3 linked regions of the Callithrix jacchus genome follow. The protein of the gene in region 1 interacts with the protein of each later gene in a pairwise test. Links are inferred from orthologs where the notes say so. Each region holds a gene or a part of one and is shown in the gene's direction. Other genes may lie near its edges. The genes, in order: UBE2U, TRIM32 and RNF144B.

Region 1 (3,645 bases):
GTTTTATAATCCTTTGGGTATATACCCAGTAATGGGATTGCTGGATCAAATGGTTTTTCTAGTTCTAGATCCTTGAAGTGTGGAAGACCACACTGTCTTCCACAATGGTTGAATTAATTTACATTCCCACCAACAGTGTAAAAGTGTTCCTATTTCTCCACATCTTCTCCAGCATCTGTTGTTTCCTGATTTTTTAATGATTGCCATTCTAACTGGTATGATGTGGTATCTCAATAAGGTTTTGATTTGCATTTCTCTAATGACTATTGATGATGAGCTTTTTTTCATATGTTTGTTGGCTGAATAAATGTCTTCTTTTGAGAAGTGTCTGTTCAGACACTTTGCCTACTTTTTGATGAGTTGTGGTTTTTTTGCAAATTTTTTAAGTTCTTTGTAGATTCTGGATATTAGCCCTTTGTCAGATGGGTAGATTGCAAAAACTTTTTCCCATTCTGTTGGTTGCCACTTCACTCTAATGATAGTTTCTTTTGCTGTGCAGAAGCTCTTAAGTTTAATTTGTCTATTTTGGCTTTTGTTGCCAATGCTTTTGATGTTTTAGTCATGAAGTCCTTGCCCATGCCTATGTCATGAATGGTTTTGCCTAGGTTGTCTTCTAGGGTTTTTATGGTGTTGAGTCTTATATTTAAACCTTTAATCTATCTGGAGTTAATTTTTGTATAAGGTGTAAGGAAGGGATCCAGTTTTAGCTTTCTACATACAGCTAGCCAGTTTCCCCAACACCGTTTATTAAATAGGGAACCCTTTCCCCAATGCTTGTTTTTGTCAGGTTTGGCAAGAAGACCACTTTTTCCTCTGGATTTTGCTGTGTCTGGTGTGGTTACTAGAATGGCCATAGCTCTCTTGCTGCGCACCTGAAGGTGAAGACAACACCTCAGACAGTAAAGCAAGCAGTGAAAAGAACTATGTCCTCTGTGACATTGTGGAGTCTCTGTAACAGTCAATCCAGCCCTCCACTCTGGCTTTTCTCTTATGTGAGATAAAACATTCTCTTATTGTTTAAACTGGGTTGACTTGGCTTTATATTTCTTGTAATCAAAAGCATGTGGAGTCAGAAAGGTCCAAACATAGTTAGAAAGAGCTGGAGTTAGTCCATCAGTAATATGTTCATGGAAAATAAAGTAGAGGCTTTTGTCAAGGCACAGACAGAATTTAGTCTTAAATTAATTACAACTAAATATTAGTATCAAAAGTACAAAAATTAAAAATCACTGGAGGCTTCAGGATACCCATAGGATAATGGGGACTGTGTAAACTCAAATCTCTCTGTGTATCTTTCTCTCTTTTTTTGTTTTGTTTTGAGATGGAGTCTCACTCTGTCACCCAGGCTGGAGTGCAGTGGCTTGATCTCAGCTCACTGTAACCTCTGCCTCCTGGGTTCAAGCGATTCTCCTGCCTCGGCCTCCAGAGCAGCTGAGATTACAGGCTCCTGTCACCACACCTGGCTAATTTTTGTATTTTTTTTTTTTTTTTTGAGACGGAGTTTCACTCTTGTTACCCAGGCTGGAGTGCAATGGCGTGATCTCGGCTCACCGCAACCTCCGCCTCCTGGGTTCAGGCAATTCTCCTGCCTCAGCCTCCCGAGTAGCTTGGACTGCAGGCATGCACCACCATGCCCAGCTATTTTTTTTTTGTATTTTTAGTAGAGACGGGATTTCACCATATTGACCCAGATGGTCTCGATCTCTTGACCTCGTGATCCATTTGTATTTTCAGTAGAGATAGGGTTTCACCATGTTGGCCAGGCTGGTCTCAAATCCGTGACCTCAAATGATCCACCTGCCTTGGCCTCCCAAAATGCTGGGGTTATAGGTGTAAGCCACCATGCCTGGCCTCTCTATGTATCTATCTATAAACCAAAGACAGAAGAAAAAAAAAAGTCACTTGTAGCCCATGTCTATAATGTAAGGAGACAACAAATATTACAGGGCTCATTTTATATGTAAGTGAGGAAAATAAACATAGAAGGCAAACAGAATTTGTCCTGCAACCCATTAATAGGCAGTGAACCCAGAGGCAACTAGGAAAAAGGGAAGAGAATACAGTGATCTTTTAGAGTTAACAGAACACAAATAGTGCCAGCTAGAGTTCATCCCCAGAAAGCAAGATCCCCATGCTGTGTGGAAATATAGATCTAGAAACGTAGACATTAGATCTATATTCTTCTTTTGAAACGTATCATCAGTTTATTTTCCTCTTTATATGGCCTATAAGATAAAGATGAAAGTCATTTGCATGACATATGAAGCTTTCCTGATCAGCCTCCCTTCCAGCTCGACAAAAGTTTTTGTGTACTATAACATTGTGTTTTTGGATAGACAAATCTAGGATGAGTCTTGTTACTAGCTGGATATCTTTGGTCAAGTTACTATAGGTTTCTCAGCCTCAGTTTCCTCAACTGTAAAATAATAATAATAATGCCTGCCCATCATGAGGGTTGTGTCTCAGTTAAATAATATCATGCCTGTTAACTGCTTAGCATCGCACCTAGCACAGTGGAAGTACAGGGGCATCCACTCTAATCACCCCTAACCCTGTCAAGTCCTCTCATACCTTTGTGCTTATATGATGTGTGCTGTTTCTTCTGTCTAATGTTTTCTGACCTCCTTCTCTGTCTAGCAAACTGCTCCTCATGTTTCAAAGTCTGAGTCTGTTTTCACTTAGACATAGTGATTCCCTCCCTGGGCTCCCAAAGCAGCTTTTCCCTTGCACATCAACTGGCCCTTAGCAGGGACTCAGTAAATATATGTTAAAGAGTGGACTAGCAAAGCATAAAAAGATTGAGCAAGATGGAAAGAATGATTTATGACAAAGTTACTTATAAAACATGAAGTTTAGAAAGTTTAAAAAAGGTTGCTCGCATTCAATCCGATGGTCTTTGGCATTATCCTACAAATGGAGGAGCTTCTCTTTTCATTGTTTTTCCTGTTATAGCTATTAAATTTCATTTTTCATTATTCCCACCACAGATGAAATTTTTCTTGAGTCACCAACTGCAATAAATAGCATCACAGACATTTATGAAATGGAGGAGGAGGAGCGGAAGAATGACTCTTCATTATATGCTTCGCTATATGAAGATGATACAGACGAGCCCAGGGAAGAGGAAGTGGAAGATCTGATCTCCTGGACCAACACTCTCAATACAAATACTTTAGAAGATTAAGCAGCGCATTATCAGATTTTAAAAATAAACAGCCTCCACCACAGCCCAGCGTTGTGGAGCAATTTTGGAAGACTCTCAGAACTTGAATTCCATTCTTTTCAAGTTGTTCTCTTCCTCTCACTGCAGGTACAAATTTGAAATATAAGTACAAATCAGTAAAGATGTTGCTTTGGCTTTTTTCAGTGCTGCTTCTTTAGAACTAAGTTACCTAAGTTAGGGGTGTTCATTGCTATATGCTAATCAATGGGGTTACACTCCCACAGTGTCGTGCAGGCAGGAAATGGGTTGGAAAGAGGCTGGGATAGGAGGGGAGCAGTTAAAAGCTTCAGAGGCTGGACATGAACCCGAGTAGAGGGATCTATACACGGACCTACATCTGCCTTGTCTTGTTTTCTTCATATTCAAGGAATAAGATGTCACTATTTACGAATGTTCCTCTTCTGTTTTATCCCAGAGTCCAT
Region 2 (4,079 bases), on another chromosome or scaffold:
TTCTCCTGTGCTTTTCTCTTAGTGTAAATTATGAGTTGTAAAATTCACGAAATAGCAAAATAATTATTAGCATTTATTACAAGTATATTACTTCCCTGGTGCTATATCAAGCATATCGTATTTATCTTGCTACTTAGCCCTTACAAGAACCATATAAAGCAGACACCATTACTACTTCTATTTTATAGATGAGTGATGGGGAAAGAGCTTTTGGAAGTTTGAATTACTTCCTTATGGTCATTGCAACTAAGTAAGCATCTTAGACTACAGAATCTGAATTATTATCCACTATGCAGTGTTTCATCTGTTTTGTTTCCCTATGAGTCACCCTCACGTGACACATAATAGACCTCTGTAAGATAGTTGTTAAGTAAGTGAATGACTGAACGACTGATCATAGCTATTCTCTAAATGTTTCTTCAGTGAACTGATTTATATAGTCAGAGGAAATTGAATAATGGTTTCTTTTTCTCTTTAGCAGGAACTTGACCCTCTAGGGCATGAATACTGTGCTGTTCAGTTCTGAGCTGTGCTAGCAGTACCCTTCAAAGAAAGAGCAATGGCTACAGCAGCAGCTTCTCACCTGAACCTGGATGCCCTCCGGGAAGTGCTAGAATGCCCCATCTGCATGGAGTCCTTCACAGAAGAGCAGCTGCGGCCCAAGCTCCTGCACTGTGGCCATACCATCTGCCGCCAGTGCCTGGAGAAGCTATTGGCCAGTAGCATCAATGGTGTCCGCTGTCCCTTTTGCAGCAAGATTACCCGCATAACCAGCTTGACCCAGCTGACAGACAATCTGACAGTGCTAAAGATCATTGATACAGCTGGGCTCAGTGAGGCTGTGGGGCTGCTCATGTGTCGGTCCTGTGGGCGGCGTCTGCCCCGGCAGTTCTGCCGGAGCTGCGGTTTGGTATTATGTGAGCCCTGCCGGGAGGCAGACCATCAGCCTCCTGGTCACTGTACACTCCCTGTCAAAGAGGCAGCTGAGGAGCGGCGTCGGGATTTTGGAGAGAAGTTGACTCGTCTGCGGGAACTTATGGGGGAGCTGCAGCGGCGGAAGGTAGCCTTGGAAGGTGTCTCCAAGGACCTTCAGGCAAGGTATAAAGCAGTTCTCCAGGAGTATGGACATGAGGAGCGCAGGGTCCAGGATGAGCTGGCTCGCTCTCGGAAGTTCTTCACAGGCTCTTTGGCTGAAGCTGAGAAGTGCAATAGTCAAGTGGTAGAGGAGCAGAGTTACCTGCTTAACATTGCAGAGGTGCAGGCTGTGTCTCGCTGTGACTACTTCCTGGCCAAAATTAAGCAGGCAGATGTAGCACTACTGGAGGAGACAGCTGATGAGGAGGAGCCAGAGCTCACTGCCAGCTTGCCTCGGGAGCTCACCCTGCAAGATGTGGAGCTCCTTAAGGTAGGTCATGTTGGCCCCCTTCAAATTGGGCAAGCTGTTAAGAAGCCCCGAACAGTTAACATGGAAGATTCCTGGGCCATGGAAGCTGCAGCCTCTGCTGCCTCTACCTCTGTTACATTTAGAGAGATGGACATGAGCCCGGAGGAAGTGGTTGCCAGCCCTAGGGCCTCACCTGCTAAACAGCGGGGTCCTGAGGCAGCCTCCAATATCCAGCAGTGCCTCTTTCTCAAGAAGATGGGGGCCAAAGGCAGCACTCCAGGAATGTTCAATCTTCCAGTCAGTCTCTACGTGACCAGTCAAGGTGAAGTGCTAGTTGCTGACCGTGGCAACTATCGTATACAAGTCTTTACCCGCAAAGGCTTTTTGAAGGAAATCCGCCGCAGCCCCAGTGGCATTGATAGCTTTGTGCTAAGTTTTCTTGGGGCGGATCTACCCAACCTCACTCCTCTCTCAGTGGCCATGAACTGCCATGGGCTAATTGGTGTGACTGACAGCTATGATAACTCCCTCAAGGTATATACCTTAGATGGCCACTGTGTGGCCTGTCACAGGAGCCAGCTGAGCAAACCATGGGGCATCACAGCCCTGCCATCTGGCCAGTTTGTAGTAACGGATGTGGAAGGTGGAAAGCTTTGGTGTTTCACAGTTGATCGAGGATCAGGGGTGGTCAAATACAGTTGCCTCTGCAGTGCTGTGCGGCCCAAATTTGTCACCTGTGATGCAGAGGGCACCGTCTACTTCACCCAGGGCTTAGGCCTTAATCTGGAGAATCGGCAGAATGAGCACCACCTGGAGGGTGGCTTTTCCATTGGCTCTGTAGGCCCTGATGGGCAGCTGGGTCGCCAGATTAGCCACTTCTTCTCGGAGAATGAGGATTTCCGCTGCATTGCTGGCATGTGTGTGGATGCTCGTGGTGATCTCATCGTGGCTGATAGTAGTCGCAAGGAAATTCTCCATTTTCCTAAGGGTGGGGGCTATAGTGTCCTTATTCGAGAAGGACTTACCTGTCCGGTGGGCATAGCCCTCACTCCCAAGGGGCAGCTGCTCGTCTTAGACTGTTGGGATCATTGCATCAAGATCTACAGCTACCATCTGAGAAGATATTCTACCCCATAGGAGATGAGAAATACCAGTTTCTTCTGCTCCCTAGCCAACCTCCCTTCCCTTAGTTCTTGGTTGTTAGTGGCTCATATAGAGTAGACTTGGCCTATGTCTTGATTCCAGCTGGGTAGTTCTAGAACTTCAGAAGCTCCATCTTTTAGTGTTTTTTATTTTCCCCTCCCCGCTTTCCACCTAAATTTAGAGCTTTAAAAGATGCACTGCCCAAATAGGACATACGATGGTGTTAGCTGAAGTTTGATTAGCAATTAGGCACTTCCAAGGCTTTAGTAGAAAGAGCCACTTTAGCCCTTTGTGCCATGTTTGACATTTGCCCTTGTATTAAATCCTTGATTTTTTTCCTTTTGGCTTTGATGCCCTTGATTCATTGTTTCCTTCCTATTATAATGTGCTTCATCTGTGACACTTCCTCTTCAACTCTGATTGGATTCAGTGTGCATGCTTCAGTGGTCTCTGCTCCACCTTTCAGTGACGTTTCAGACATCATATTCCTGTAATATGATGTCTCAGTCCAGTCATCTTCACCAGTGTGAAAGCTCATTCATTTAGTGCTACCAAAGGGGATACACAGGCCCTTTAGGAAGCAGTACCTCTTGGCTGGAGGATCTGTGCCATCTTGGATTGAAAGTTGGAGATGTGACAGAATGGATTGACCCTAGTTGGATGGTATTGACGACTTCAGCCTGGAAATTGCTGGCCTTTTAAAGAAGCATCTGTGGATTGGAATTATGCCAAAGCATTGGAAGCTGGGAATAAGCGAACAACTGCTGATACAGTCAGCATACTTGGATAGTCATTAGGGCTCATCATTTTTCATACTACCTCTCTCTTCTGGCCTGTGTCTATTGAAAGTGCAACACAGGCCAGGGCCAACAAAGTGGGGAGGTGGACACATTTTCATGTTTATTACTAAAACAAAGAGCAAAACTGTTGGTTTGTTATTCTGTATTTTCCTCAAGTGAGTTCATACTATTTGGTTTCAGGATCTCTTTCCATTTCTCTGCCAAGCATTAAATAATTGAGAACTGTTTCTTCCTCACTGGTGTTTATGTCTTTTAATTAAATACAGGATTTTGGAGATGATAAGAGGGATAACTTCCACTATGCCATTTTGCTTCCTTAGCTCACACTGTGTTCTTTGAGAGTGTAGGTAGCTACCCAGATTAAAATTCAGCCAAAAGCACTATTATGTAAATATAATAATCCAAATCTTTCTCCCAAATACACGTGTACAGAATCATCCACCCAAGGTTTATGGTCACCAATACCCTATTCTAAATTGAGCTTCTGCTATATGTTTTATGTTTATAATTACAGTTCACAAAAGGGAAGTTAGTTTTGTTTTTAAGATCAGAAATGGGTGAGAGAACCTGTGATGAGGTTCCTGAGGCTTTGATGTTTACTAAGCAGTATATCTTACTCTACGTGCAAGGCTGATGCCAAGCCAAAGAGCAACTCCCTTGCTTTCATGGAAACAAAATTTGCTAAAATGAGCTGCTCAAAATTGTTTTTATGGTAGTAATGTTTCTTTGGCTTGTGTTGTAATAGCTGCCAA
Region 3 (4,386 bases), on another chromosome or scaffold:
ATGTCAACTGGTGGGTACACCTGAAATAGACACTGCTGCATCCTGGATAAACTGACACAGCACACTCCTCAATGCCGTCACGTTTCTGTTTCACACCTCCAGTCAAATCAGGGTTCATATCGCCCTCCCTTAAAGCAGACTCAGTTCCGAAACCGAGACATTTAACTTTCAGAGTTCACTTTTCTCATTTTGAACTACTTTCTCAAGTAGCAAGAGCTTTCACCGCTGTTTGCCAGGGAGAGAAACTTTTTGGCAAACGTAAAAATATTTCCAAGTATTCAAATACTTCCAGGTCCAGCCTACATTAACATCAGTCTTAACGGGCTGCACTAAGACATTACAATAACGTCGAAAGGCAACAGATGTATTAACATCAGTCTTAACGGGCTGCACTAAGACCTTACAATAACGTCGAAAGGCAACAGATGTGTAATGAAACGGACAAAATTAGAACATCCACTTAACAACTTCAAAGGTGCACATGCGGAGTTAAAAAAAAAAAAATCTAATTTAAGACCTACAAACTTCCCGTCAAATTAATGAGTATTTATTTAGAGCGGGCATAAGTCAGCTGCACTCCAATACATCACTACCACGCTAATACCGGAATACACAAAGTTAATTCTATGCAATCGCTCAACACAAAAGCAGATAAATTGTGCATGCATTCTCGCTGAAAAATCACTCCGACTTTATGCCCCTAAACACCAAAAGAGCAAGAAAACTGTTTCCTGGGGCGGGCGGGGGGGGGGGGACTTCGGTCTGAAAAATCCATCATTTGGGATGCAACTCCCCCCACCTTTTTCCTCCTCCTCCTCCTCCTCCTCTTCGTCGTCTTCGTCCTCTTCCTCCTCGCTCTCTTCTCTGGGACCGGGCATTTCGGGTTCCTTCTCGGACGCGGGCTCAGCGGGGGTTCCCTCTCCCTCCGCAGGGGCCGAGGCAGACATGCTGTGAACCTGCGGATGGGTAGAAAGCCGGACGTCTCGGTCCCCCTGCTCTCGTAGGCAGGACACGGCGGCCACCTCGAAAGATACAACCCTTCTCGCGGGACACCTGCCCTGAAAGTTGTCTCTTCCCGTAGCCGGGACGGCAGCGCTCAGTCCCCAGGGACCGCTTCCCTGCCGCTCCGCCCGCCGCCGTCCAGGTATTCCCGAGGCGGGAAAAAGCGCCCGCTCGGCCTGCGCTGTTCCCCGCCCGGCCCGGCCCGAGCTGCCGGCCCTCGGCGTCCCCTCCCCCGCCCCAAGCCGCCGTCCAAATGGCTGCGTCCCTCCCCCGTCGGCCGCGGGAGTGACGACCGGGCCTCCTGCGTCCCGACGCAGCCCTCACCGCGGGTCCCGACCGCCGCGGGCCTGTCGTGCGAGGACACGAGGAGGTTCTAGGAAGCGGCGGCGGCCGACGCCGAGGAGAAGGCGCGCGGGCCGCTGTCTGGCGTGACGCTCACGCCGCGCGCTCGGCTCCCTAGAATCAACAAGATTTTCAAAATGGCGGTTCGGGAAGGAGAGCGGGAATGCGGCGACCAATCAGGGCCGCGAGCTGGGAGTTGGCGGGCGCGGGGCGGGGGAGGCGGGGCGGCCGGGTGCCTCCGCGGGAAGCCCGGGCGGGCGGGACTGCGAGGGGTCTCCGCGGCCGCGGAAGGAAGGATGCGCGCTCTAGGCTCTCCCGGGCTGCGCCTGGCATGCGGTCGGCGCTCGGGCCCTGAGGTGCGGGCGGGCTGTGTCCTGGGTGGCGGTGGGGAGCGGGAGGCGAGGCGGCCTGGCCGCGCGGAACGGAAGGACGCTAGGGGGCCTGCGTGTTTATTGTCTCCACCGTCGCTTCCCGGAAAAGATGATGAGTAGTCCCGGGCCGGGGAGGGGCGCGGCGGTAAAGAAGTTTAGAGATCCCCGAAGTCGCTATCGATAACGTTTCTTGGAGGCGGAGGGGAATTACTCAGTCAGCGATCTCATCAATGCCCCAGAAATCATGCTGGGTGATATATAACTCCCCAACCTGCTATGTTTCTGAGGACCCCGTTGCTTTTAAGGTGCATTGCAAGGAAAAAGACCTTACTTGCCACGTTAAAGGTTCACATAACCAGCCACATAGATTTACACCCCTGTGAATATAGGGGGAAAGGCTCCCTCCCACCGGATTCCTTCCCCTCTCCTCTCTTGCACACACTACTCTGTTTTAGAATACAGGAAATACCTTATTTGCCCAGGTCCAGACCCTTCTCCCAGAGTTCTAGGCTATCTCTGCAGGTGCTTTTTACATTCAACACTGCAAACACTCAAAGCAGTATCTTCCCTGCTCCATGCTGCCTTCTTTTGTATGTGATTTCCTTTATTTTATCTCAGCTCTTCAACCACCAGCTCACCCAGCGGATCCTTGTACTCAGTGGACTTAATGGAAATACGGTCAGTGAAATTTGCTTGGATTCTGGATTGCAGGACAAAAATTAAACCGTTTCTTTGAATCTTCTCTTTTCCTTTTGTGCCCCTTCCAAAACATATGCCAGTGGTGTCATTCCTACTCTTGTATACCATTTTCCACACTATTGATTCCACTCGCATCCTATCCATAGCTGTCTCTCCTTGTTACCTGACACATAGTTGAAGGATCAGAAGTTTGTGTTTCAGCCCTATTTGTGTTATAGCTCTTTCAGTCCTGCCATTTGGCAGGTCTTCAGTTCTTGTCCTGTGTCCAGGAAGAATGAGGCACCCAAACAACTGTAGGGTGAGCAAGGTGTACAAGAGCTTCACTGAGTGACAGAACAGCTCTCAGGAGACCTGAAGTGCGTTGCTCCTTTCTGTAGGAAGGTTGTCCTGACCAGTGTCTTCCCTCAGTGGAGAGGAGACCCATAATGGGCAGCTCCTTTCTGCAGGCAGGTTGTCCTGACAAGTTGAGAAGACCAAAGTGGGTAGCTCCTTCCTATAGCTGGTAGTCCGGACCTCTGGCTGAGTTTGGGGTTTTTATGAGCTCAGAAGGGAGGAAGTGTGTGCTGATTGGTCCATTGGTGGGCCCAGAAAAAGCACCATAAGTTCTCACTCTGCCCAGAATTGGCCACTGGTACCTGGTTTGAAGGTGAGCAGGCACCAACCCCTTTCTGCCCAGGAACTTGTCTGCCTCCCACCATCAACATGTCATCTGTGGCACGCAGGCAGTTTATGCCAAGGGATCCCTGCAGGTGCACACAGAGCCACCCTCAGACCCTTCTTGCAGTTGTTGGTGTCCAAAGTCCAGAGGGGGTGGATGTGGCAGGGGGAGGGTGTGTCAGTACTACCCTGAATGCGTACACACCCAGCTGGGTTGCAGTAGCAGCCACAGCTTTACTCTGCCTTGGAGCAGGCCCTGGGATTGAGTAGAGGATAGAGGCCTGTAAGCAAGCACTTTCTTTCTTTCTTTCTTTTTTTAATTGAGACAGGGTCTCACTGTCACCCAGGCTGCAGTGCAGTGGTATGATCTTGGCTCACTGTAACCTCAGGAGCAGGCACTTTCAAGCCTGCAGGGGCAGGGGCTTCTTGGGCTCCCAAGAGCGAGGATGCCTGGGCCCAGAGCTGTTGCTGGACCACCGATGCTTACCAACTCGGTAGGGGGCGGGCCTCTTGCGTGTTCCCGGCCCCTGCTGGCTCTGAGGAGTGTGCGGCTCTGGCTGTGCCTTCCATGCTGCAGCTGGCATCCTCTCAGTGGCTGCTCCAGATGGGCTGCCACTGCCATCAAGACCATGAATAAGTGAATATAAATCCTACAACAGTTAGTGATAACAGTTAAGCAAGTTAAAGAAGATAGGAAGTACCGGTAGGGTGGATGGGATTTTGTTTTATATATTCAGCAATTAAGCAACATCTTATTAATAAGACATTTGAAAAGATCCTAAGAAAATGAGAACTCTGAAGACCGACTTGATTGTTCCAAAGAATTCTCTGAAGTTTTGGATGTGGGCAAGAGTCAGCTGGAAGTCAATGATGACCTTGGGGTTTTTGGTTCAACAACTGTAGGAACAGAGTAGCCATTGGTTGAGATAAGAAAGACTTCAGGGGTGGGGGTGGGCAGGATGGTTTTGAAGGGGAAAGTGCAGGAGGTGGGAATGAGTTGTTTTGTTTTAGACATGTTAGTTTTGAGAATTCAAAAATGGAGATTCAGGAGTGGCAGTTGGATTTGAGAGTCTGGCCTTCACCAGAAGTAACTCGAGCTGGAGATACAAATGTAGCAGTTGTCAACATGTAGATGGTATCTACAACCCTGGAACTGAAATCACTAACAGTGAATATAGGTAGGGATGAGGAGATGCTCAATATGGCACATTGGAACTCTCCAGTGTTTACAGGTTCAGGAGTGAGAGGGGAGCCCACAAGGAGAAGAGAAGGAGCGACTGTAGCCAGTGAAGTGGGAAGATAATCACATGAAAAT

Evidence for each region.
Region 2: the proteins of UBE2U (region 1) and TRIM32 interact in binary tests that used the Homo sapiens proteins (3 or more experiments, as listed by UniProt). The link is inferred for Callithrix jacchus from reciprocal best matches to the Homo sapiens genes UBE2U and TRIM32.
Region 3: the proteins of UBE2U (region 1) and RNF144B interact in a two-hybrid assay, tested with the Homo sapiens proteins (2 studies listed by BioGRID and IntAct). The link is inferred for Callithrix jacchus from reciprocal best matches to the Homo sapiens genes UBE2U and RNF144B.

The regions. Positions count from the first base shown.
Region 1 is NC_133508.1:101,414,799-101,418,443, forward strand, and holds part of UBE2U (ubiquitin-conjugating enzyme E2 U), read left to right. Parts: intron 1-2,987; coding exon 2,988-3,184; 3' UTR 3,185-3,645. UniProt on the Homo sapiens protein: Catalyzes the covalent attachment of ubiquitin to other proteins.
Region 2 is NC_133502.1:165,034,550-165,038,628, forward strand, and holds the end of TRIM32 (E3 ubiquitin-protein ligase TRIM32), read left to right. Parts: intron 1-478; exon of another isoform or gene 479-481; 5' UTR 482-559; coding exon 560-2,521; 3' UTR 2,522-3,563; downstream 3,564-4,079. UniProt on the Homo sapiens protein: E3 ubiquitin ligase that plays a role in various biological processes including neural stem cell differentiation, innate immunity, inflammatory resonse and autophagy.
Region 3 is NC_133505.1:12,567,178-12,571,563, reverse strand, and holds the start of RNF144B (E3 ubiquitin-protein ligase RNF144B), read left to right. Parts: upstream 1-1,574; 5' UTR 1,575-4,386. Other genes in the region: protein DEK, read right to left, coding at 800-947.